Caenorhabditis elegans: one gene and its partners. The protein of the gene in region 3 interacts with the protein of the main gene of each other region in a pairwise test. Each region holds a gene or a part of one and is shown on either strand. Other genes may lie near its edges. The genes, in order: fbl-1, tac-1, lin-37 and C39D10.7.

The links.
Region 1: the proteins of lin-37 (region 3) and fbl-1 interact in a two-hybrid assay, tested with the Caenorhabditis elegans proteins (3 studies listed by BioGRID).
Region 2: the proteins of lin-37 (region 3) and tac-1 interact in a two-hybrid assay, tested with the Caenorhabditis elegans proteins (3 studies listed by BioGRID).
Region 4: the proteins of lin-37 (region 3) and C39D10.7 interact in a two-hybrid assay, tested with the Caenorhabditis elegans proteins (3 studies listed by BioGRID).

Annotation. Positions count from the first base shown.
Region 1 is NC_003282.8:9,538,853-9,545,769, forward strand, and holds fbl-1 (Fibulin-1), read left to right. Parts: upstream 1-1,955; 5' UTR 1,956-1,999; coding exon 2,000-2,039; intron 2,040-2,192; coding exon 2,193-2,428; intron 2,429-2,475; coding exon 2,476-2,629; intron 2,630-2,748; coding exon 2,749-2,901; intron 2,902-3,182; coding exon 3,183-3,440; intron 3,441-3,875; coding exon of another isoform or gene 3,876-4,016; intron 4,017-4,115; coding exon 4,116-4,191; intron 4,192-4,234; coding exon 4,235-4,344; intron 4,345-4,442; coding exon 4,443-4,583; intron 4,584-4,681; coding exon 4,682-4,785; intron 4,786-4,826; coding exon 4,827-4,907; intron 4,908-4,953; coding exon 4,954-5,278; intron 5,279-5,366; coding exon 5,367-5,493; intron 5,494-5,642; coding exon 5,643-5,848; intron 5,849-6,014; coding exon 6,015-6,259; 3' UTR 6,260-6,391; downstream 6,392-6,917. UniProt on the Caenorhabditis elegans protein: Incorporated into fibronectin-containing matrix fibers. Plays a role in cell adhesion and migration along protein fibers within the extracellular matrix (ECM).
Region 2 is NC_003280.10:14,752,353-14,755,468, reverse strand, and holds tac-1 (Transforming acid coiled-coil-containing protein 1), read left to right. Parts: upstream 1-1,591; 5' UTR 1,592-1,593; coding exon 1,594-1,822; intron 1,823-1,885; coding exon 1,886-2,222; intron 2,223-2,274; coding exon 2,275-2,491; 3' UTR 2,492-2,578; downstream 2,579-3,116. Other genes in the region: Y54E2A.4 (Activating signal cointegrator 1 complex subunit 3), read right to left, coding at 239-436, 484-704, 764-800; smg-9 (Nonsense-mediated mRNA decay factor SMG9), read left to right, coding at 2,980-3,116. UniProt on the Caenorhabditis elegans protein: Involved in microtubule formation, polymerization and assembly, regulating microtubule nucleation and length. Plays a role in pronuclear migration and mitotic and meiotic spindle elongation during early embryogenesis.
Region 3 is NC_003281.10:7,070,381-7,074,236, forward strand, and holds lin-37 (uncharacterized protein), read right to left. Parts: upstream 2,173-3,856; coding exon 2,048-2,172; intron 1,999-2,047; coding exon 1,864-1,998; intron 1,427-1,863; coding exon 1,147-1,426; intron 1,100-1,146; coding exon 930-1,099; intron 740-929; coding exon 622-739; 3' UTR 510-621; downstream 1-509. Other genes in the region: tmem-17 (transmembrane 17 domain-containing protein), read left to right, coding at 1-105, 154-276, 344-505; ZK418.5 (BOS complex subunit TMEM147), read right to left, coding at 2,453-2,588, 2,639-2,775, 2,826-3,023, 3,201-3,334, 3,381-3,453.
Region 4 is NC_003284.9:7,907,912-7,915,486, forward strand, and holds C39D10.7 (Chitin-binding type-2 domain-containing protein), read right to left. Parts: upstream 6,020-7,575; coding exon 5,873-6,019; intron 4,865-5,872; coding exon 4,731-4,864; intron 4,676-4,730; coding exon 4,571-4,675; intron 4,518-4,570; coding exon 4,348-4,517; intron 4,303-4,347; coding exon 4,119-4,302; intron 4,048-4,118; coding exon 3,625-4,047; intron 3,448-3,624; coding exon 3,202-3,447; intron 3,156-3,201; coding exon 2,895-3,155; intron 2,254-2,894; coding exon 1,232-2,253; intron 1,178-1,231; coding exon 1,084-1,177; intron 980-1,083; coding exon 865-979; intron 820-864; coding exon 710-819; intron 664-709; coding exon 567-663; intron 519-566; coding exon 111-518; 3' UTR 55-110; downstream 1-54.

The DNA of each region.
Region 1 (6,917 bases), on a different chromosome or scaffold from region 3:
TGAGCCATGCAGTCTATGCAATCTACCTACCTAGCGGGTCGGTGTTTCTTTAGGGGTGGCAATAGGTTGCAACAGGTCGACCTATCGCCACCCCTAGTTTATTCCAAACCAAAATGAGGCTCCGAATTAACGAGTATCAGAGGTATAAGGCGCATACAAAATTTGTGGTGTCAAATATTTGGCAGTCATTTTTTTTTGAAACAAAGAACATATTTATTTTCAGTTATTTCCTACAAAACTTTAAAAACTGCAATCTATCTAATCTTTAAAAATTTCAATTATGTTCAAAAAGATCTGAAATTTAAACGGTTAAAATATAGATATTCATACAAACGAGAAAAGAAATATATTCATACAAACGAGAAAAGAAATTGCCGGATTTTTAACCAAAAATAATCAAATCCTGAAACTTCCCACCATTTTCCCCACTTCCCAATGTTTTTCCAACATTCATGCCTTTGAGTTCAAAAAAGATTTTCATTTTATTTTCTGAATGTGTACCATCACATGTGAACTCATTCCTCCTCCATCGTTTACGATCTCTTTTTACGAGCTCCGCCCTCGAAAATGCTTCTGATCATGTAAACGAAAAGAAAAAAGATGAAGAAGACTGCTGACTGACTGACGATGTATCATTTTCTCACATTGTGTTATGTTGCGATTGAGTGTTAAACTTTTTATTTAGAGGTTTCAAACAGATGAGTCACTTGCCGATTATGAAAATACTGTTTTCGAGTTTGAAAATGTATATAACTTGTAAATATGCAAACTTGTAAAAACTTGTAAAACACTTGGCGTTTATTTTTTATCCATTTTCGTTTCCAACTCTAGAACAAGAGAGAATTTTGGGAAACTCTTGCCAGTATCTTACAAAAACTTTTTTGTGTCGTTGTAACATTGGATAAGACATTGGAAATAGTTGTTCAAACTTGTAGATACTTTGGTAATAGCTTCATAATGGTTTCACAAGTCTAACTCAAACTGTGCAAAAGCTTCACAACTTCTCAACCAAGTCTATTTTTTGGGAAAAAACTGCTCAAGAAGTCAGCTCCAAATTCTGAGTAAGTATGATTGTTGCCCTGAAACGTAAAACAAAAATCGGATAGGTATTTTCCGATTTTAACTATAAATCCACCATAAACCCCGTCGATCAATTTTGCGCTATTCCAATGAAAGACCGTTTTTTTTCAATTTAATATTTTCAAAAACTAAAATAATTCAAATAAATTTTTTGTTTTGGTTTCAACAGTGTCGTTTGCCATTTTTCTGTTCTAAAAATATACCCAAAATCTCACATTTCCTCGAAACATTCCATGTAAACATCTGTTCCAATGCTCCTCCCTCTTCCTTTCAATGCTCATTTGAAATTGTTTCACTTAATTAACCAGACTATTATCCGTGTCATTTACGGGCACATATACATCTACATACATCTCAATAATATTAATAACAATAAGCTTAGATTAGAAAGGAAAATGCGGGAACATGAGACGCAGGCAGAAGCAGATAGATGGGCGGTTCCAAATCGGGAATGTTGGAAAGCTTTTCGATTTAGACACAACGAATTTTTGAGCAAAATGTGATAAGAATAGTAATATGTTGTGCTATTTTTATTGTTATTATTTTCTGTTTTATCATTCTTTTTGCGTCTTGCGTAACACTTATCACTAAACGGCTTTTGTGAGGTTTTCACACGTTTTCATAAATTCTTATCAGTTTCATTGTTTTTATGGGAGTTTTTTCTTTTATTCTTCTTTTTTTAAAAATCTGAAAGTTTTCAGTACAAACTTTTTTTACTTGCCCTGTGTACGAAATATGATCTAAATGAGCACATGATGATGTGATATTATTTGATCTTTCCTCGAAATCCTACTCATTTTCTTTGTGTCGTGCCACTTCCGTTCCAATTCACAACTTTTTGTGTTTCCGTTACAACATTATCTGCTTTCTTACAGAATTACGGAAACCCCGTGGAAATTTTAGTAGATTGGATAGAAATATGCGAATTTGTTTCTTATTATTGGCATTTTTGGTGGCAGGTAAGCTTTTTAAATTTTTTCAAATATTTATTTAAATTTTATGAATAATTAATAAAGAGGGCCCTCAAAAACACTTTGAAAATAGGCCATTTTCTAACATTATCCATAAAAAGAAAACTATCACAAACAACGGGAAACTTTCAAAATTTTCAGAGACCTTTGCCAACGAACTTACAAGATGTTGTGCTGGAGGAACTCGTCATTTCAAGAATTCAAATACTTGTTCAAGTATCAAAAGCGAAGGAACAAGTATGACGTGCCAAAGAGCTGCATCCATATGTTGTCTCAGAAGTTTATTGGATAATGCATGTGACTCTGGTACAGATATTGCAAAAGAAGAGGAGAGCTGCCCAAGTAATATAAATATTTTGGGAGGTGGATTGAAAAAAGTAATTTTAAAAAATCGAATAAAAATATAAATTGAGATGGATTTCAGGAGTGTTGTGATTGCTGTCTTCTAGCCAAAGATTTGCTCAATCGAAATGAACCGTGTGTTGCTCCAGTTGGATTTTCAGCTGGATGTTTGAGAAGTTTCAATAAATGTTGTAATGGTGACATTGAAATCACACATGCTTCCGAGATCATAACTGGTAGGAAAACAGAACATTTTCAATATTATTTCTTTTTAAAAAATTGAAATAATTTAATTCGGAACTTTTCATAAAAAATACCCGATTTAATGTTAAAATTGTTTTTTCATGTTTTACAGGACGTCCACTCAATGATCCACATGTACTTCATCTCGGCGACCGATGTGCGTCATCTCACTGTGAGCACCTCTGTCATGATCGTGGAGGCGAAAAGGTTGAATGCAGTTGCAGATCTGGATTCGACTTGGCACCAGATGGAATGGCTTGTGTAGGTATGAATATGTTTTACGCTTTTTTTTGTGCAGGTCAAAACCAAGTTAGAACTTTTCGAAAATTTAATTTTGAATGGAAAATAATAAAATTAATAGTAAAATACATAGTAAAATTAACATCACACTGTTTATCTGAAAATTGGTATGTATTTTATGCAAATTGGCAGCTTTGATAATTTTCTTTTGTTATTTCACGATTTCAGAAAAAAGTTTTCCCACTTTCACTACATCCATTCCCGGTCCTCTAGCTTACCCACATACCTTTTGTGCTTCTCTTTCAGATCGTAACGAATGTTTAACCCGCCAATCCCCATGTACCCAGTCTGAAGATTGTGTTAACACAATTGGTGGATATATCTGTCAGAGAAGAATTTCTCGTCTTGTTCCCCATCGTCATCGTGCCAATCGAATTGGCAATGCGCCAAGAAGAATGAGAGACGATCCATATTCTCGTGCTGGAGAATATAGAGAAGCATCACAAGCAAATACAGAGTTTGGATGCCCAATGGGATGGCTTTTTCAACATGGACATTGCGTTGGTAAGATAATTTAACAAGAAAATTAAAAAAAAAACAAAATTTAAAAAGTTGTGTGCTTATTGTTTTTTGCGCACTTTAAATTCAAAAAATTAAAGTTTAATCTAATTCTAAATTAACTGTTTCTTGAAATAATATTTGTCGTGTGCTGTCTGTCTAACCCTCAATCCCTAGAATGTTCTCTCCATCATCCATGTTCACATTCTAATCAACATTGTCTACCCTCTCCTGGGAATAATCGTGGCGATGGTTCCTGTGTCTGCAATCGAGGATATTATTGGAGTGATACTAACTCGCAGTGTGAAGGTTCTTGCTTTTTAAATGACTAACTGAATGAGAAATTGGAAGCTATGTTAATTGACAATATAATATTTTTCGAAAATTTTGAACATCACTGACAAACTCGCTTGCTGAAAAACTAACCAAAACTAACTCCAGATATTGATGAGTGTGCCACACTGATGGACGATTGTTTGGAATCTCAACGATGTTTGAATACTCCTGGAAGCTTTAAATGCATCCGAACACTTTCATGTGGAACTGGTTATGCAATGGACTCTGAAACTGAGCGGTGTCGTGGTTTGAATTTTTGTTTCTAATTTTTGGCGTCTTCTAGAAACAATTGCTTTCTGATAATTTTGAATAACACTTTTAATTGTAAATATTTTTTTGTTGAAGATGTTGATGAATGCAATTTGGGATCTCATGACTGTGGACCACTCTATCAATGCAGAAATACACAAGGAAGTTATAGGTTCGTGATTGGAACATTGAAATAAATTCATATTAAATTATAGATGCGACGCAAAAAAATGTGGAGATGGAGAACTTCAGAATCCAATGACTGGAGAATGTACATCGATTACTTGCCCAAATGGATATTATCCAAAGAACGGAATGTGCAATGGCGAGTCTTTATTACATCATATTGTGTTTCAGTTGTTAAACTAAAAACAATTAATGTTTCATAATATTTACAAGGGGAGACTATACTATACTTTCCAGATATCGATGAGTGTGTTACTGGCCACAACTGTGGAGCTGGTGAAGAATGTGTGAACACCCCTGGATCATTCAGATGCCAACAAAAAGGAAATCTGTGTGCTCATGGATATGAAGTTAACGGAGCTACTGGATTCTGTGAAGGTACGTTTTTTATTTGTGACTAATGAAATTTAAAGTTTACTTTCAATTAATATCACTGAAACTCTAAAATATTTAAAACCATAAAATACGGTTTTCAGATGTGAATGAATGCCAACAAGGAGTCTGTGGATCAATGGAATGTATAAATCTTCCGGGAACGTACAAATGCAAGTGTGGACCTGGATATGAATTTAATGATGCGGTAATAAGAAAAAAAATAATCACAAAAAAGATTTATTTCAGAAGAAGAGATGTGAAGATGTTGATGAGTGTATCAAGTTTGCTGGTCATGTTTGTGATTTATCAGCCGAGTGTATTAACACTGTACGAATTTGCTTTGAAGTTTCCTCATTTTCAGTTCACTTTTCAGATTGGTTCATTTGAATGCAAGTGTAAACCAGGATTCCAGCTTGCTTCAGATGGTCGTCGATGTGAAGATGTGAATGAATGTACAACTGGAATTGCTGCATGTGAACAGAAATGTGTTAACATTCCTGGAAGTTATCAATGTATTTGTGATCGAGGATTTGCACTTGGTCCTGATGGAACAAAATGCGAAGATATTGACGAATGCTCAATTTGGGCGGGGTCTGGAAACGATTTGTGCATGGGAGGATGTATTAATACAAAAGGATCATATTTGTGTCAATGTCCACCTGGATACAAAATTCAACCGGATGGAAGAACTTGTGTTGGTTCGTTGAACTTCACTTTCGTGAACAAGAATTCTTGTCTCGAAAATGGTTTTCCAGTTAAATTTTATGACATTGCAAATACTTTTAGATGTTGACGAGTGTGCCATGGGAGAATGCGCTGGATCGGATAAAGTATGTGTTAATACACTTGGATCGTTCAAATGTCATTCCATCGATTGCCCAACTAACTATATTCACGACTCGTTGAACAAAAAGTTAGTTTTTAAAGCTATATAATTTTTGCATAAGCTTACCCTAATTTTTCTTGAAATTTCCCAATTCATGAATAGTCTTAATAGAAAATTGGATGTCTGCAAAGTATCTGAACTAATACGTTTGAATGTTCCACTAACAATATTTTCAGTCGTTGTAATCGTCAACCATCAGCATGTGGTTTGCCTGAAGAATGTTCAAAAGTACCATTATTCTTAACCTATCAGTTTATTTCTTTGGCACGTGCTGTACCTATTTCATCTCATCGTCCTGCAATCACTTTGTTTAAAGTTTCTGCTCCAAATCATGCAGACACTGAAGTCAACTTTGAATTACAATTGAAGACTACTATAGTTGGTATGAATTTTCTACTGACTGTATCTATAGAGACTGCTATTTCAAAAATGCTCTGAAATACACATACTTCAGCATTTCTAAAAAATTAGGAAGTCATATTAGAAGAGTGTTTTTTAGCAGTTTTTCTTGATTACCTTTACGCTAACCCTAGCCCACCTAATTTCAGGTGCTCCAAACGTTCTTCCAGCTATTCGAGCTAATTTTTTACTTCAAAAAGGTGAAAAACGAAATAGTGCAGTTGTAACACTTCGGGATAGTTTGGATGGACCACAGACAGTGAAATTGCAACTTTTACTCAGAATGAGCAAAAAAGGCAAAAACTTCAACACATACGCTGCCAACCTGATTGTCGATGTGGCAGCTCACAAGCGACATAATACGGTTCATCCACCGCTCATGAAGATTCGATAGAAACAATTTTGTATGACTTTGTTTTGTTGATAATGTTTGAATAGTGTGACTTGCTGTGATGATCTCAAAATTTGCATGGATTAATAAATATTTTGATAATGACAATTTCGACATGTTTCGTATAGCCCATCAAGATCGAATAAAATAAAAATATTATTTTAAATATTTCTGAAATGAAACAGTAAATTTAAATTTTTGAATTTACGTCTAAAATATTTTCAGCCAAATTGCTGATGGTTATTCTTGCATCAAAGTGTGCTCAACAGAAGATACCGAATGTCTTGGAAATCATACACGAGAAGTTCTTTATCAATTCAGAGCAGTCCCATCATTGAAAACAATTATCTCACCGATTGAAGTGTCAAGAATTGTTACACATATGGGAGTTCCATTTTCAGTTGATTACAACTTGGATTATGTTGGACAAAGGCACTTTAGAATTGTTCAAGAAAGAAATATTGGTTAGTAGTAGACTATAAACATTAATTTATAAAGGTTTTCATGAGTACATGAGTTATTTTGTAAGTGAGTTATATCTGGAAAATTATGAACTCTGTGATCCTTTCGATAAAAATGATTTTGTATTTTTTTCAATTGATCTGCAGCTCTTAAAAATTGTAAACTATCTTTAAATTTAACTTGTTGAGCTTGCCAAAAG
Region 2 (3,116 bases), on a different chromosome or scaffold from region 3:
GAAACTCTAAAATTAGCCTAAAATCGATAATTTAATTTTTGAAAAACGTTTTTTGTGGAAAAATGTCCGAAAAATTGACAAATTATGTTCCAAATTGTAAAAAATGGAAAAAAAATAAAAAAAACAGCCAGAAAACCAAATTCAAAAAATCAAAAAAAAATTAGAAAATTTTTATAAATTTTTTCACTGTTATATTCTGCCATTTAGAGCAAATTTTTAAAATTTTCAAAACTATTACCTTCGCCTTCGCCTGCCTCGCATGCTCAACTTTCGCCAGCTCCTGGCTCTTCACCTCGAAAACTATTTTATTCCGTTTTTCGAGTATATCTCCGGCTAATTCGAACAATTCGACGCCGAGAAGATCGATGAGCTCGCCCTGTAGATCCATATCGGAACGTGTCGAGCACAACATTTGTAGAAGGTTTTGGGATATTGTCTGAAGGAAAATAGGTTAGAAACTTGATTTTTTAGCCGAAAATCAACCTCAAACGTATCTGGAAAATATATAAGCAATGTGTCAGCAATCGGCTGAAAAATGCTCCCAGAGCCCGAGGTAGAAGGCACTTGGGGTAGGGAAAGAGCTTCTGGAGCTTCTGAAAAACCTTCTTGTTCAGCTTCACAATTCGACCATTCTAGAAATTCCGATGGAAATCGAATTTGAATTTCCTGGTGGAAGCTTGCTACCCGTGATGGTGAGGGTGGATCTGAAAAAACATCTGGTAAAAATTTTTTTAATAAAAAAATGGAAAAAAAGCTAACTAACCATCTCCAATTCGTTCGATATAGTTGAGAAGATCCATTTTGTACCTAGTTTGGCAGCTGTAAAATTAGAATTAAAATTAAAATGAAAAACTATATTTTTCAAGAGAGAAGGATGTTCAAACATTGTTCAAAATTTCGCAATTTTTGAAAAATCGATTTTTTTCTGAAGTTTTAAGTTTTAATTACTTTTAATTTCTATTTTGTTTAATTGCCAAATATTTTTGTTTTTTTCTCTGTTTTAAGGTGAAAATTAATAAAAATGAACAAAATAAGGTCCTGGCCGCTTCCCTTCTCTGACCTAGCGCTTTCTAGGCCAACTGCACTTTTATTTGGCGGTTTTTTATGCAAAAGTGTATTATATTAATTTTTTTCGCAATAAAGATGTGTTTTTAATCATTAAAATAGTTTAAAATGAAGAGAAACATTGAAAATTGAAAGATAACAAAAAATGTTTTTAAAAAAATTCTACAGTACTTTTTAAAGGCGCAGTCCAATTTTTGTATTGATTTTCCCGCCACGATTACTCTTGTGGACTCTTTTTTCGTGCTTTTTTTGTTGTTGGTTATGGTTTTTACTGATTTTTTTTGAATTAAAAATTAAAAAATGACTTTTTTAATTAAAAATTTGTTTCAATTATTTTGAAACCCTCTTGTAAAGCCTTGTAAAACAAGAAAATTGAACTACAGAAGTTTTAAAGGCGCATACTAATCTTCAAAACAATTTTCCTACCACGAAAATAAATGATGACGCGGGAAAACTGAAGAATCGTTAATTTTCTCCGTTTTTCACGAAAAATGTCGGTTTTTTCTATTAAATTCATCCGATTTTCAGATGTCGCTCAACACAACCTTCACCAAAGAGGACGGAACCGAGGTCGTCATCCCATTCAACGGGTCGCAAAATGGGCATCCGGAGAACGAGGAGCCAGAGGTTGAAGAAGCCGCGGAGCCCAGTTCTTCAGTGGAGACACTGTGCGGTGCCACGAGAGGCGACATCATTGTGATGAAGCACACGACGAAGGCGCTCACAGAGTTGATCGAGCGGCTCTTGCACTCGGATGGTGAGAAGCTTTGAAAAATTGCTAAAAGAGATTTTAAGAGGAATAAAACCATATTAATTTCAGAATTCGAAGTCCGTCGCTGCTCAAACGGCCAAATCATCTCACAAGGCCGCTGCAACGGAACAACGCCAGGAAACGGCATCGGAGGCGGCGGGGCATCAAGCGAGGAGCTCGAAAAAGCGCTGAAAGATCGAGATGCCGCCCGTGCCGAAGCCGACAAGCTCCACGCCAACTACGCGACACTGTTCGCCTCGTTCAACACGGTTCGCGAAGCCGCCAACGACATCCGCGGCGAGTACGAGGACGCGAGGGACAAGCTGAAGCTCGCCGCCGCCGAAGTTGACGAGTGGCAGGCAAAGTTCCTCGCCGTCAAGGATAATGCGAATTCTGAGCTTGAGAGGTGAGTGAGAGAAAATTTAATTTGCAACATGTAAGAATATATTTCAATTCAGAGCATCCGTGGAGTACGACGATCTTCTCCGATCCCACGATGAGAACACAAAGGGACTCCGTCTGCGTGTAAAACGCCAGGAAATCGAGCTCTCCAGCAAGAACGACGAGATCAAGGTGCTCACGAACCGCGTGTCGGAGCTCTCACAGATTTGCGATCAACTTCTGAATGATGTCGACGTTTCCGATGGGATGTCCGTTATTTCGACGGATGCATAATTTATTTCTGTAAAATATAATATTTCTTCCCCCCGCCTTTTCGCTTTCCGCCTTATATTTTCTAATTGTACATGAATTTTTCAGCTTATTTATTTGTTTTCCAGATTATTTGTATGAGAAACAAGTACAAAAGGCTTCGTTTCAGTATTTTACCGAGAAAAACTACAATCTTCTAAATTTTCGCGCCAAAGATACAGCGCCCGGTCTCGACACGAAAAACATTTGCCAAATGCAAGCATGTGTGCGCCTTTAAAGTGTACTGTAATTTCCAGGCCGAATTTGTTTTGATTTTTTTAGTTCTCACTTGTTTTTCCAAACAATTTATGCGTTGTTACGAGGTTTTTGTAATAAAAGTCAATAAAATTCCTACAGTAATCTTTAAAGGCGCACACCTCTTTTCAGACTGCCGCATGGATTTTGAGCGAATTTTTTGATTAAAATGTATGCAAAACTTTCAAAATTTCTATTAAAATCTTGCAATTTTCCAGATGAAAAAAGTGGAAATTCTGAAAACATCTCGGCCATCATCTGCAGGAGGCGCTGCCCGACCCTCCACAGCGAGCCCAACTCATGGAGCACCGAAAATCGCCATCAAAACACGTCCGGTGGCCGATGACGTGGCGCC
Region 3 (3,856 bases):
CTGTCATTAACGTATCAAGTAATTGCATTTTCTGCGTGTTTAGTTCATTTGGGAAGTGAAGGAGTACGGCTAGGACTTGGATTTTATGGAAATTTGGCAGAAAATGTAAGTTTTGAATGAGTCAAGTCAGAAAATCGACACTAGTGTTTACAGATGTCAGCTCTTTTTGGATTCTTAATAACTACAATTATTATTCAAATTCCTCTTACAGTATTCTTGGCAGTGAATGGCTCTTTTCTGAATCTCCCACTTGAATACGTTTTCTACACAATGATTGTGATTTTTAGTGGATTTCAAGTGAAAATTCAAAAATCTGAATATTCTCAAAATATTTCTATTTCAGACTGTATTCGCTATAGAAGCTTTGATGAAAACTGCCGAACGAGAAGTTGCAAAATATATTAACAAGATTCAACAAGAAAAAGTAGCTGACGAGCTCGAGAAAACTTCAGGAAAATCTCCAAAAAGTGGAAGAAAAACGTTGAAAAAACAATTGTCAAGATGATGTATTTGAATAAACCCATTATTTATATGAATTTTAAAGTGAGATTTTTGAAATAAGAGACATGTGATAGCAAGATCAGAAAGTAAGAGATAAATTGAAATTACATGTTAGAATATTTAAATAAGACCAAGTGCTTGCTCGACAGTTTTCGACTCTCCAGGCTGGTAGATTTTGTTGATTAATGCTATGCTTCTTGCATGGGGAGCAGTCCGACGACGTTGATGAGCACACCAACTGAAATTTTTTTTTTTGGATTCTCTGACTTTGAAGAAATAGTAGTGATCACAGATTGCTAGTACAATATTTTTTATTTTATAGTTTGATACAAAATTCGACAAATGAAATTCTAACATAGAGCACAGTTACCGTAATACTTTAAGAAATAAATTTTTACGGAAATTTTCAATGGCAGAAGAAGTGTTACCCTTTTTTGACTTGTTTCCAATGACGAATGTATTCATTTTTCAAATCTGTTTCATATCTTGGATCGACTGTAGCGTCGAATTCATCGATTCTAGATGGAACAATTGGCAGCTCAGGAATTGATTTATCTGGACGTGGCATTCGATGAATCTCGCGACATGCAAGATAATCCTGAAGGAAATAATTATAACATTTTTCATTTAATCTTTCCCACTCACAACAGCCAGATTCGGTGCATAGTCTGTCCTTTGAGCTTTTATTGGTTCATATTCATTATTCATGTGTCCTTTAACCCATGCTCTACCAAGTGAATATTCTTCTTCAAAACGTCCAGCTATCATTTCGAATGGTTTTCCACGCAATTCAAACATAATTTTAGAATCACGAGTCATAGTCTTGCGTGGTGATTCCATAAGTGAAGTTGAAGATTCGTGACGCGGCATCTTACGAGGGCGACCTGGTGGACGTCCTTGGCGCCCGGGCTCTTCATCAGCACGACTGAAATTATAAAAAATGCAATGGAAACTCTAATTTTTCAATTATGTCTAAAATTTATATTACGAAAAACAAAAAGGTCCACATTGTCTAAATTTTTTTCTGTTATGTATATTCCAGGACGCGACATTTGACAAAAATTAACTATTTATCTGGAACCAAAAAACTGAAAAAAAATGCTGTATTTACTGTAAACGTTTTCTGTGTACAAAATTTATTTTACTTTTCTTTCAAACTAAATGTGGCTCTGCATAGTTTTTAATTCTTTTTCTCAAATATTAAGGTTTAAAATTCAATCTCCAATTTTTTTTTGGCTTTTTTACATATTTTTGCTTTTTGATACAAAATCAAAACCAAAAAAAAAATGATTTTTCGCCCCAGGCATGGTATACTCTGCCGAAAATTAAACAAGAATTGAAATTTTCCATTTTATCACTTACGTATAATCTTCTGGGAGTACTCCAATTATTTCCGATGGGTGATGTTTTATGGTTGTCAGCAGATTTCCCAGACGTTTTCTGGCGAATTTCATATCCGGTGACTCCGGAACTGTCGGATCATAGGATAACAGGGATCTGGAAGCATCTTGAGTAGCACAATTGTTTCAAGTTTAGAAAGTATTACGTGAGTTTTCTGCTTGGCGATTCCAATGGAAGTGGACCTCCGCTTATCAATGGATCATTTTGACGAGCATTTCGATCTCCGTCTTCTGGAAGCAAGAACTCGGCAAGTGGATCTATTTCTGACATCTAGAATTGGAGAGGAATACATTATTTGGACAGTGAACAGCGAATACTTGCCAAAGTAATAAAGGTATTTAACCTTTAATAAAAAGAGATAAAAATTGTAGAGTAAATATAAGGACGACAATTTTTGAAGCAGTTATTAAATTAAACAATAAATATTTTTGGGTACTTGTATAAACATGAACAAGGAGAGAAGAAAATTTCGAATAAATATATAAATTCTGAAAGAATCTAAGATAGTATTGAAACTGACAAAAAGTGAATTATAGCAGAATATGTGTTGCTACTCGTTCTTTCTTGTGGACGCTGTCCGGTTTGCCGAATAGACAACGACGGTGAGAATTGCTGTTGCGATGGAGTAGGCAAAGCGGAATGCCAAGAGAGACCATCCGTAGAGAGAGAATGTGTGTTGAACGGTTCTGAAATAAAAAAAAATTTACATTTTTTGACTAGTAAAACCAATACTTACTGATAAACGAATGTTGAGAAGACACACATCGCAAGGATCGGTGACACCAAGAACTTGTTTGGAGTGCGGGTGATCATCCATGTAAGGCAGGCGAGAGACACAATAACCAATAGATCAGCTGAGGAATCAAGAGATGTCTGAAAATATAATATTATCTTTTTTTCAGAAAAAAGGAAGATTTGATCACCTGAACCCAACGCCATGTGAAAGCGGTTCCACGAGCTCCAACCCATAAAAGAACAAGACGATGAGCAACAGAATGAGCGAATCCCCAGCCAAGACCACCGACAACGAATCGAACTTCTCCTTTTCCGGCTAAGAAGTTGGTCATCAGAAGGTGAAGCCCAATGACATCGATGATGTCAGCACTGCTTTTTAGGAATTCCTGCAATGATTCTGAGATTGGCAATGAAAACCAAAATCAATAAGTTTGAAGTGTCCGAAGGATTATGTCCGGCGAGGATGGGTTTATGGTAAATTTCACTTAAAACTTGAATTAAAATGATTTTCATTGAAACGTTATTTATAGCTCCAATTTTGAATAGAAAAATTAATTACATACCGGCACAATACTGAATCCTTCACTGTCGAGGGCTGGGAAAAATGTGGCAATGATAAGCAGTTTGGCGAGTTGTGTCAGCAAATATCCACCACTAGCAGTTGCACATTTCCAGATGGAACTGTATTCGTTAATTCCTATAAAAATAGTGGTGTTTCATTGACTTCCCATAAAAAATATTACCTGAGTATTTGTAGACAATAAAATATGGTGCAAATGCCAACGCGAAGCAATTGATGAAATGGAAAAATGACATTTTGTAGATTTAGCTTACCTGAAAGATATTGAATTAATATTAAAACTATATACTTGATATCAAGGAACAAAGAAGGTAATTTTTAATTCTTAAGCAATTATGAATTACTGAATGTTAATATTTTAGGACTATAAATTTCGTTTGGACACACTAGAAACCTTCAAAAACACCAGCCGATGATTATGAAATTCATTTTGAGAATAATCATTGGATTTAAAATAACTAAAATTCAATAAAATCGATAAAATGGGCATTTGAATGATGATATTTGAAGGGCTCACGCTACCAGAAGTTGACGAAGAGCGACAAAAAAAGAGTAGTGCAACCGCGCTTTATTGAGAACCATTTACGCGCGAAGTTTGAATAGGACTTTCTATCATATGGCAGACTTTTCGAATTCGTA
Region 4 (7,575 bases), on a different chromosome or scaffold from region 3:
GCAGTTTGCTGTCCCAATTTAAATGTTTAATGCTTCAAAACTCTTTTTTTCTAAATATAATAATTCATTGAAAACTCAAAAAAGACGTAAGGCAAAAATAAGTGTATATATTAATATGACTTATACGCAGAACTTGTAGTTGGGGCCACATATGAAGCTGTAGTAGTTGTGGTTGCATCTTGTGCTTCAGTGGTTGTCTCGTACGGTTTGTGAGTAGTGGTGGTTGGAGTCTCTACATCGCGAGAGGGAGTTGTTGCTGGTTCTTCATACTGTGTAGCGGTGGTGGTATATGCAGCTTTGTAGAGAACCTTTCCAGTAGTCGTTGTTTGAGGTTGATACGGGGCTGCAGTCGTGGTTGGAGCTGGCTGCTCAAATCTTTTGGTGGTGTAAGTTGTGTAACTAGATGTGACTTCAGCAACTGGAGGTATGTAATCATTGCCACAGTCCTTATTGGTGCTCTTATAATTACAAGTTTGCGTGTCCCCATTGTACACCAATGGAGCAATACAAGTTCCAGACTGAAAAGCATATATTATTTTTGAATGTATATATTTTAATAAACTCACAAAGGCTCTTCCGTTGTCACAGACAATGTAATGTGGGGAGCACATTTTGAGGTGGTGGAGTCCGTTAGATCTGATCGTGCAGAAATCACTTGGCACTCTGAAAGTAAATGTTTCATCAGAGCAGTAACATGACAAAATCTTACGCTGGAGGTGTTCTGTCTAGAGTGGTTGCAATTGAGCATTCCTTTGCGTCAATTGGGAATACACACTTTTCGGATTCCTTGGAGAATTTGAGACTGTTCGGGCAGCTCATCTAAAAAATTTTGCGAAATACTGAACAACATTAATCGGAACATACCTTACGAATCTGTTCATCAATGCAGGAAAAGTAATATGAGGAGCACCCAGCAGAGTAATAACCATCTGATTTTCCAAAACAAGCATTCGAATCGATTATGTCAGATCCTTTGCCGCTAAAATTATTAAAATGAAAGTTGAAAGTTCTTTAAAAAACTAAGTTCATTAGGTACGATTACATTAATCCACCACATCAAATTCAGTACTCCGATATGCTTACATTTTGCATGTATCCACGGTGTGTTTGTAAGCACACATTCCATTCTTTTCGTTGTAAAAAAGTCCGGGGGCACATGAGGAAATAAGTGAACGACCTGCAATTAATAATTGCTTACTTTCAGATAACTTGTGATTTTGCACAGTCTAACCTTGCATGCATTGAACGTAGTCTTGTGAGCAGTACGGAAGAGCATAGATTCCATCAGGACGTCCGGAGCAGGAGAACGCCTTTGCCAACGGTGTGGTGTCTACTGGTCCTGGAGTTGTGGAGGTGTAATCAATGTTTGGGTAGTTGTAAGTTGTATATTTTGTCGTGCCTGGTTGCTCTGCTGCTGGTGTTGTAGAAGGAGTTGGCTTGTATTCTGGGCAATCTTCGACATGCTCCTTGTAGTCACATCGATTGTTCAATTTGCTGTAAAACAATCCTGCGGGGCAACGATTAATTGTAGTCTCAAAGTTGTTGCACGAGATGTAATAGTCCTCACAATCAAGACCGTAGTTTCCATTTTCGAGTCTTTCACAGAAAGCAGCATGCTGTGGCGATGGAGTGGTCACGGATGGATTGTACGCTTTGGTGGTGCTTTGAGAGTATCCATAGTTTTGATATGAAATGACTGGTTGCTCGGCAGCTGGTGTTGCGTCTGTAGTTGGTTTGTACTCTGGACATCCCTCCACATTTTCCTTCACGTCACATTTATCTTGTAGACGACTGTAGTACAATCCTGACGGGCAAGGGAACTTGAATGTTTTACGATTGTAGCATTTGATCAAGTATTTTTCGCAGTCAAATCCATAGTTTCCATCATCACGTTTTGCACACATTGCAGCGTATTTTGGGGATAGAGTTGTTGTGAAGATTGTTGATGTGTATTGTGGTGCGTACCCTGGAGTAACCGGAGTATATTCAATTGGAGCATATCCTTGGGTGGTACTTGGTTGTTCATATGGTTTGCTGGTAGTTTTAGGGTAGGAGTATGATGGAGTGGTGGTTGGTTGGTACCCTTGACAATCTCGGACATTCGTACTGTAATCACATTCTCCGACATATGGATTGAAGATCAGATTTGCTGGACATGTAGTTGCAACGACTTGTCCGTTTGCGCAAATGTAGAATACGCTCTTGCAGAGACCAGAGGCATGGTTTCCATCAGCGAGGTGTTTGCAGGAAAAGCTGGAAAGTATAATTATAACTGGAACACTTTTGACAAAAATGTTGTAAGCTCTTAGGGGGAATTTTTGTTTGAAATAGATTAAAATGGTTTCCGCTGCTTAACCTAAAACATTAATTGAAAAACCTTTAAAAAAATTTTCCTTGAAATTATACAATATACTTCTTACTTTTAAATTGGATAAAATTCGTAATTGAACAATATCTCAAATTTTTTGCCGCTTTTTTAAATCAGATTTCAGCTATTTGCATAATCTCAGATAGTCTCAAATTATTTGAAAAAAATAAACTAGAACATTAAAAATAACACAGCTGTGTCTTTACACATTAGAAGTTTTCCAACTAAAGGAACGCAATTTTTGTCGGAAACTGTCTGATTGAGAAAATTTCTAAAAACTTTCATTCAGTTTCCAAGATGTTTGTTAAATTTCAAATACCTCCAATAGCATTTTTGTGACAGACACTGTCATTGAAGATATTTTATGAATCTAATTCCTTGAAAAAACTGGAAAAAGTTAGATGTCTATTTCAGGAACTCCCAATTGAGTAAAATTGAGTAAAAATTGAGTAAAAAAAAGCTGCTAAAATTTTTATAGTGATCTAGTCCAAAGAGGGAGTTTTTTCCTTGAAATTAAAAAACTCACTCGTCCAAAGCAATTGTAGTTGTGACTGGAGCCTGAGTAGTGTATGTAGCTTTTGGTTGTTCATATCCAACAGTGGTCGGAGCCTTGGTGTAAATTGGACGTCCGTAAATCGTTGATGGCCGTTCAGTGTCTCTTGGTGGCTGTGTGTACGGCTTTGTTGCTGGTTGTTCAGTGGTTGTGTACACTACGGACGACGAGTATCCAATTGTAGTAGTTGGAGTGTCTTCACCTTTGTAAATTTGAGATGGTTCCATGTAGTTTCTGAAATTTTGATTTTATAACTTTTCAAACAATTTGAGATTGGTACTTTTCACAGTTTTCAGCAAAATCACAGGTGCCAGTAGCTTTGTTAAAGACTAGATCGCCAGGACAGTCATTCGCAAAAGCTCTTCCATCGTGACAAGTGAAGAAGCTTTTGGTGCATGCTTCCTTGATGTACTTTCCGTTTGGTTTTCCGGTACAGTCAAAGTCTACTTTCACTTCAGCTGGTCTCTCGTTATAGGCTCCTCCGTGATTGTAAAGAACAGGTACATCTTCTGGTTTTCGTGGCTCTCTAAATTTTGTTTTTAGATTTGACTTATTTATATCATATTTATGAGAAGATTATTACGAAAGTAAATCAACTTCCGATTCAGATTTTTTCTTGAGTAAACCTTATGACAGGGAAACTGACAAAAACTCCAAACCTATACAGTAACAAATTTCAATTTGAAATGAATATTCAACTTACAGACAAATTGCTGCGAATTCGCAAGCTGACACTCTTGTGTCGAATACAAGATTATCCGCGCATTGAATAACCCGACCAACTCCGTTGTCACAACTCAAAAATGATGCGTGGCACTCTTTGATTCCAAAGATTCCGTCTCTATTTTTGCAATCTCCGTGTACTGCTGGATTGTATCTGACTGTTGAAGAGAAGACAGGTGAAGGTGTAGCTTCAGTTGGAACATATGGGGCAGCAGTTGGATTTTGTGGTGGTGGATTTGGTGGAGCTGCTGATGTCGAGCGTGGGACGTAGGTTGTTCTTGGTGGGGAATAGACTGGCGCGGAAGCTGGAGCATATGGGGTTGGATCCACTGGAGCTTCAGCAATTGACCCATAAGAAGAAGAAGAAGTAGTGGTTTTTGGTGCTCTATACGAAGTTTCGGAGCTGAAATAAATTACCCAAAAGTAAGTTTTGTTAAGTTTTCTTCATTTACACAACAAATTTGATCAACTCACCCGTTATATTCTGGACAATCTTTCACAGACTCTGGAAAGTCACACAGGTTTTGGTCCAAAACGTAGATTAGCTTTTCTGGACAAGTTTTTCTGAACAGCTTTCCATTCGAACACTGCCAGAAATATGGGGAACACTTCACGTTATCAGTGAAATGCATGTCTCCAGTAACTTTACAGTCCAATCCTTAAATAAACATTTTTAATGATAATAATACTAGTAAGGCCGAACCATTGTGCCCATTTTCAAATTCTTTGGTAGTGACGATGTAGTTATCCGAATCATATGTTGGTGAAGCATAGGCAGCAGCTGCTTGATCTTTAACTCCTCCAGAAGCATTACAGTTGGTGTGGTAATCGCATCGCTTGAGAATTGGAACGTATACTTGCTGGTATGGACACCTTCAAATTGATTATGTGTTTTCTTTAATAAGTTTTCTGCACTTGAAACTAACTTTCTCATGTAAGATATTCCATTTGCACACTGATAATAGTTTTCATTACACACAGTCTTGTCCAGTGCATAATCCCCACTAAGTCTGCCCACACAATTTATCGAACTGAAATTTTTCAATTAAAATATTTCAGAAAAAATAATTTTCCAATAAAACTCACACGGCCTTTTGGCGGACATTGAGTGTTACACGATCACCTGTGGCACAGAGATGGTTGCTAGAACGACGCTCACAACGTGCTAATAAGCGGTCAAAATAAAGACCCTCTGGGCATGACTGCTCATATTCAACATTCTGAAAATTATATAAAAAATTTTAATTAAATTCAGATTTATGGTTTAAACATTCCCTTACAATAGTTTTCCATTACTTTGAAGTGGTCTCAAAAGAAATAAGAAAAGAAAATAAATATTTGTTTCATTAAAAAATGGTATCAGCTAGAGATGCGTATGGGTCGTAATGGGTCGACTCGCCTATTTCACAGTTATTCTTTTTTTTCTCACAATGGCTCGCTTTTTGTCGCTTTTTTTTCATTTTCAAAGTATCATGAAAATTTTCGAGCTAAAAAAATTTGGTATTATCTTTAAAATTCGAAAATTTGAATTGCAAATTTTTATGACTGTTCTATTGCAAAATATGTGACGTGAAAGGTACAAATATTGCAAATCGTTATAGTATATTTTTTAAAGATGTAAGTTGAAAAATTTAATGTCTGACTTTGGCATGAAATAGTATTTTTTCGATAAAATAATGAAAATAATGATCCCTCCAAAAAATTTAGCTGCCCCGATCCAGGTTCAGCAAAGTTATGACGTTTTGAAAGTGACTAAAACACCTTTTTACAAAATTTCAAAATTTTCAAAAAAAAAACATTTTTTTCTAAAAAGAGGAAAAAATGTTTGCAAGTTGTTTTAGCTCACAACTCTCAAGAAAACCCACAAACTAATCTACCAGAAAAAGTACTTTTTGGAATTTTGCTCAAGGTATGTGGTTTTTTGTCCGTGGTGAGAAAAAACGTGTATGATATATGCTTTTCACTGTTTTGGATAAGTTAAAACAGTTTTTATCGATTTTCAGAAAACAATTTTTTTTTTTGAAATTTTAAAAGTTTTTTTTTTGGTAGGTCAAGAAATTTTTTCGGCACTTTCAAAACATCATAACTTTGCTAAACCTGGACCGGGGCAGCTAAATTTTTTGGAGGGATCATTATTATCACTCTTTTATCGAAAAAATACTATGTCATGCCAAAGTCAGACATTAAGTTTATCGACTTCCCTTGTAAAGCTCCAAAAGAAAACTCACGTTGACACACTGAAGATACTTTGAGCTGCAACCAACAGCATAAAGCCCGTCACCATCCGGGCATGGTGGTCCTTTCGGGTTCAGAACATTTTTGGCGTCCGCCGAGATGAGGATGACAGCCGCCGCAAATATTGAAAGCTGTCGCATCTAAAAAATAAAAAGAAAATTGCGAGAAGAAAATTTGAAAGAAATGTGAATGATTGTTTATCTGAAACACAATGCTTTTATATTGTCAATCTGTTCTGTCTTGGATGGTGGGCGGATTTTGTTCTGCTCTTATTGATAAAAAGCTAGAAAACCTGTAGATTGGAATTCAGATATTGATCAAAAGCCCAATCCATCAGATATTTATTAATAAATAAAAGAATATCAAGCACTAAAAAAGAAAAATGAATCAACGAAACATTCACATTCTTTTCTTTGCAAGTATAGTGTTCAATCTAGAAAGAATAAGTACCTCGAAAACTGAGATCTTATTTTATTTTCGTTTTTCCTTATGACAATCTCTAAGTTTACCGGGTGACCCGGAATGAACGAATTGACGTATCCAGTCAATAGTAATTACGAGATTATTGACTGTTTACCACAAGAAAACACGACTTGCAAATCGTGCAAAAGTTCGGACAGCCTTGGAAACGGATGATGTTCGATGCGCATGTGTTTTTGTAGAAAAAAAACGGATTAGAAAGATATTTCCGGAAACTATAGTATTTTTCTGGCATTGTCAAAATTAACCTGGTTGTAGAATAATTATATCTTCTTAAAAAGTACCTTATCGACGAAACAACATGAGATTTACAAACGAAATATTCAATAAAGTAGCGAATATAATTATAATTAATTGCTGAACATGTTCTGGGTAAGTTTTTTTTGAATCTCTAATATAACGATTAAAAACTGAATTTAACATAAAATCGTTTGTAGCCAAAAAGAGTAAATGTGAAATAGTAGTAACACAAATAATGTTTCAACCGTAATTTTCCTTCATAGTTTAACATGTTTCACTTAAAATTTTATTTTAACTATTTTTATTTACATTGTTAAATATCGCAACCAGTTAATTATCACGAGTGTTTATTCCAGGTTATTTAATTAGTCACACTAATCAATTTGAAACATACAATTTTAAAATAATCAATCTGCATTATTCAATTCGCATACCCTTCTCGAAACAGTTCTGACGTAGTGACCTCTTCGAGCCTCACCATTGCTCTTCTCGATCCCGCCCACAGTTGATATCTCTTATCATTTGAATCTTCCGGCAGCATTTGTCCTGGAAGAAAAATGTTCATTTCCTGATGGGAAAATTTTCAAGCGAGAACAACTATTGCACAATCTGTGATATTCTAACATTTTCCGCATTGCTGTCAAAAATGATATCACTTATAAGAAGTATGAGTATACATGAAATCATTAATTCCATTCCAGGTGAGATGGAAGTTGAAACAGAATTAGAAATTAAAGAAACGTTATATATTTGGAAATTATTCATAGTCTTGTTACAATTAAAAATTAAAAAAAACTGTCTGTTTTCTAGACTACAATAAAAGAAAATGAGACTTTTTTTCGAAAAATAAAAAAGTTTGAAAATACATTCAATTTGTTAATGTATGAAAACGTATTTGAAACTGCTTTACTAAATTCAATAGGGTATTTATTTCAGCTAAAAATTCAATATATAACCTCAACTAGTGTCAAAAATA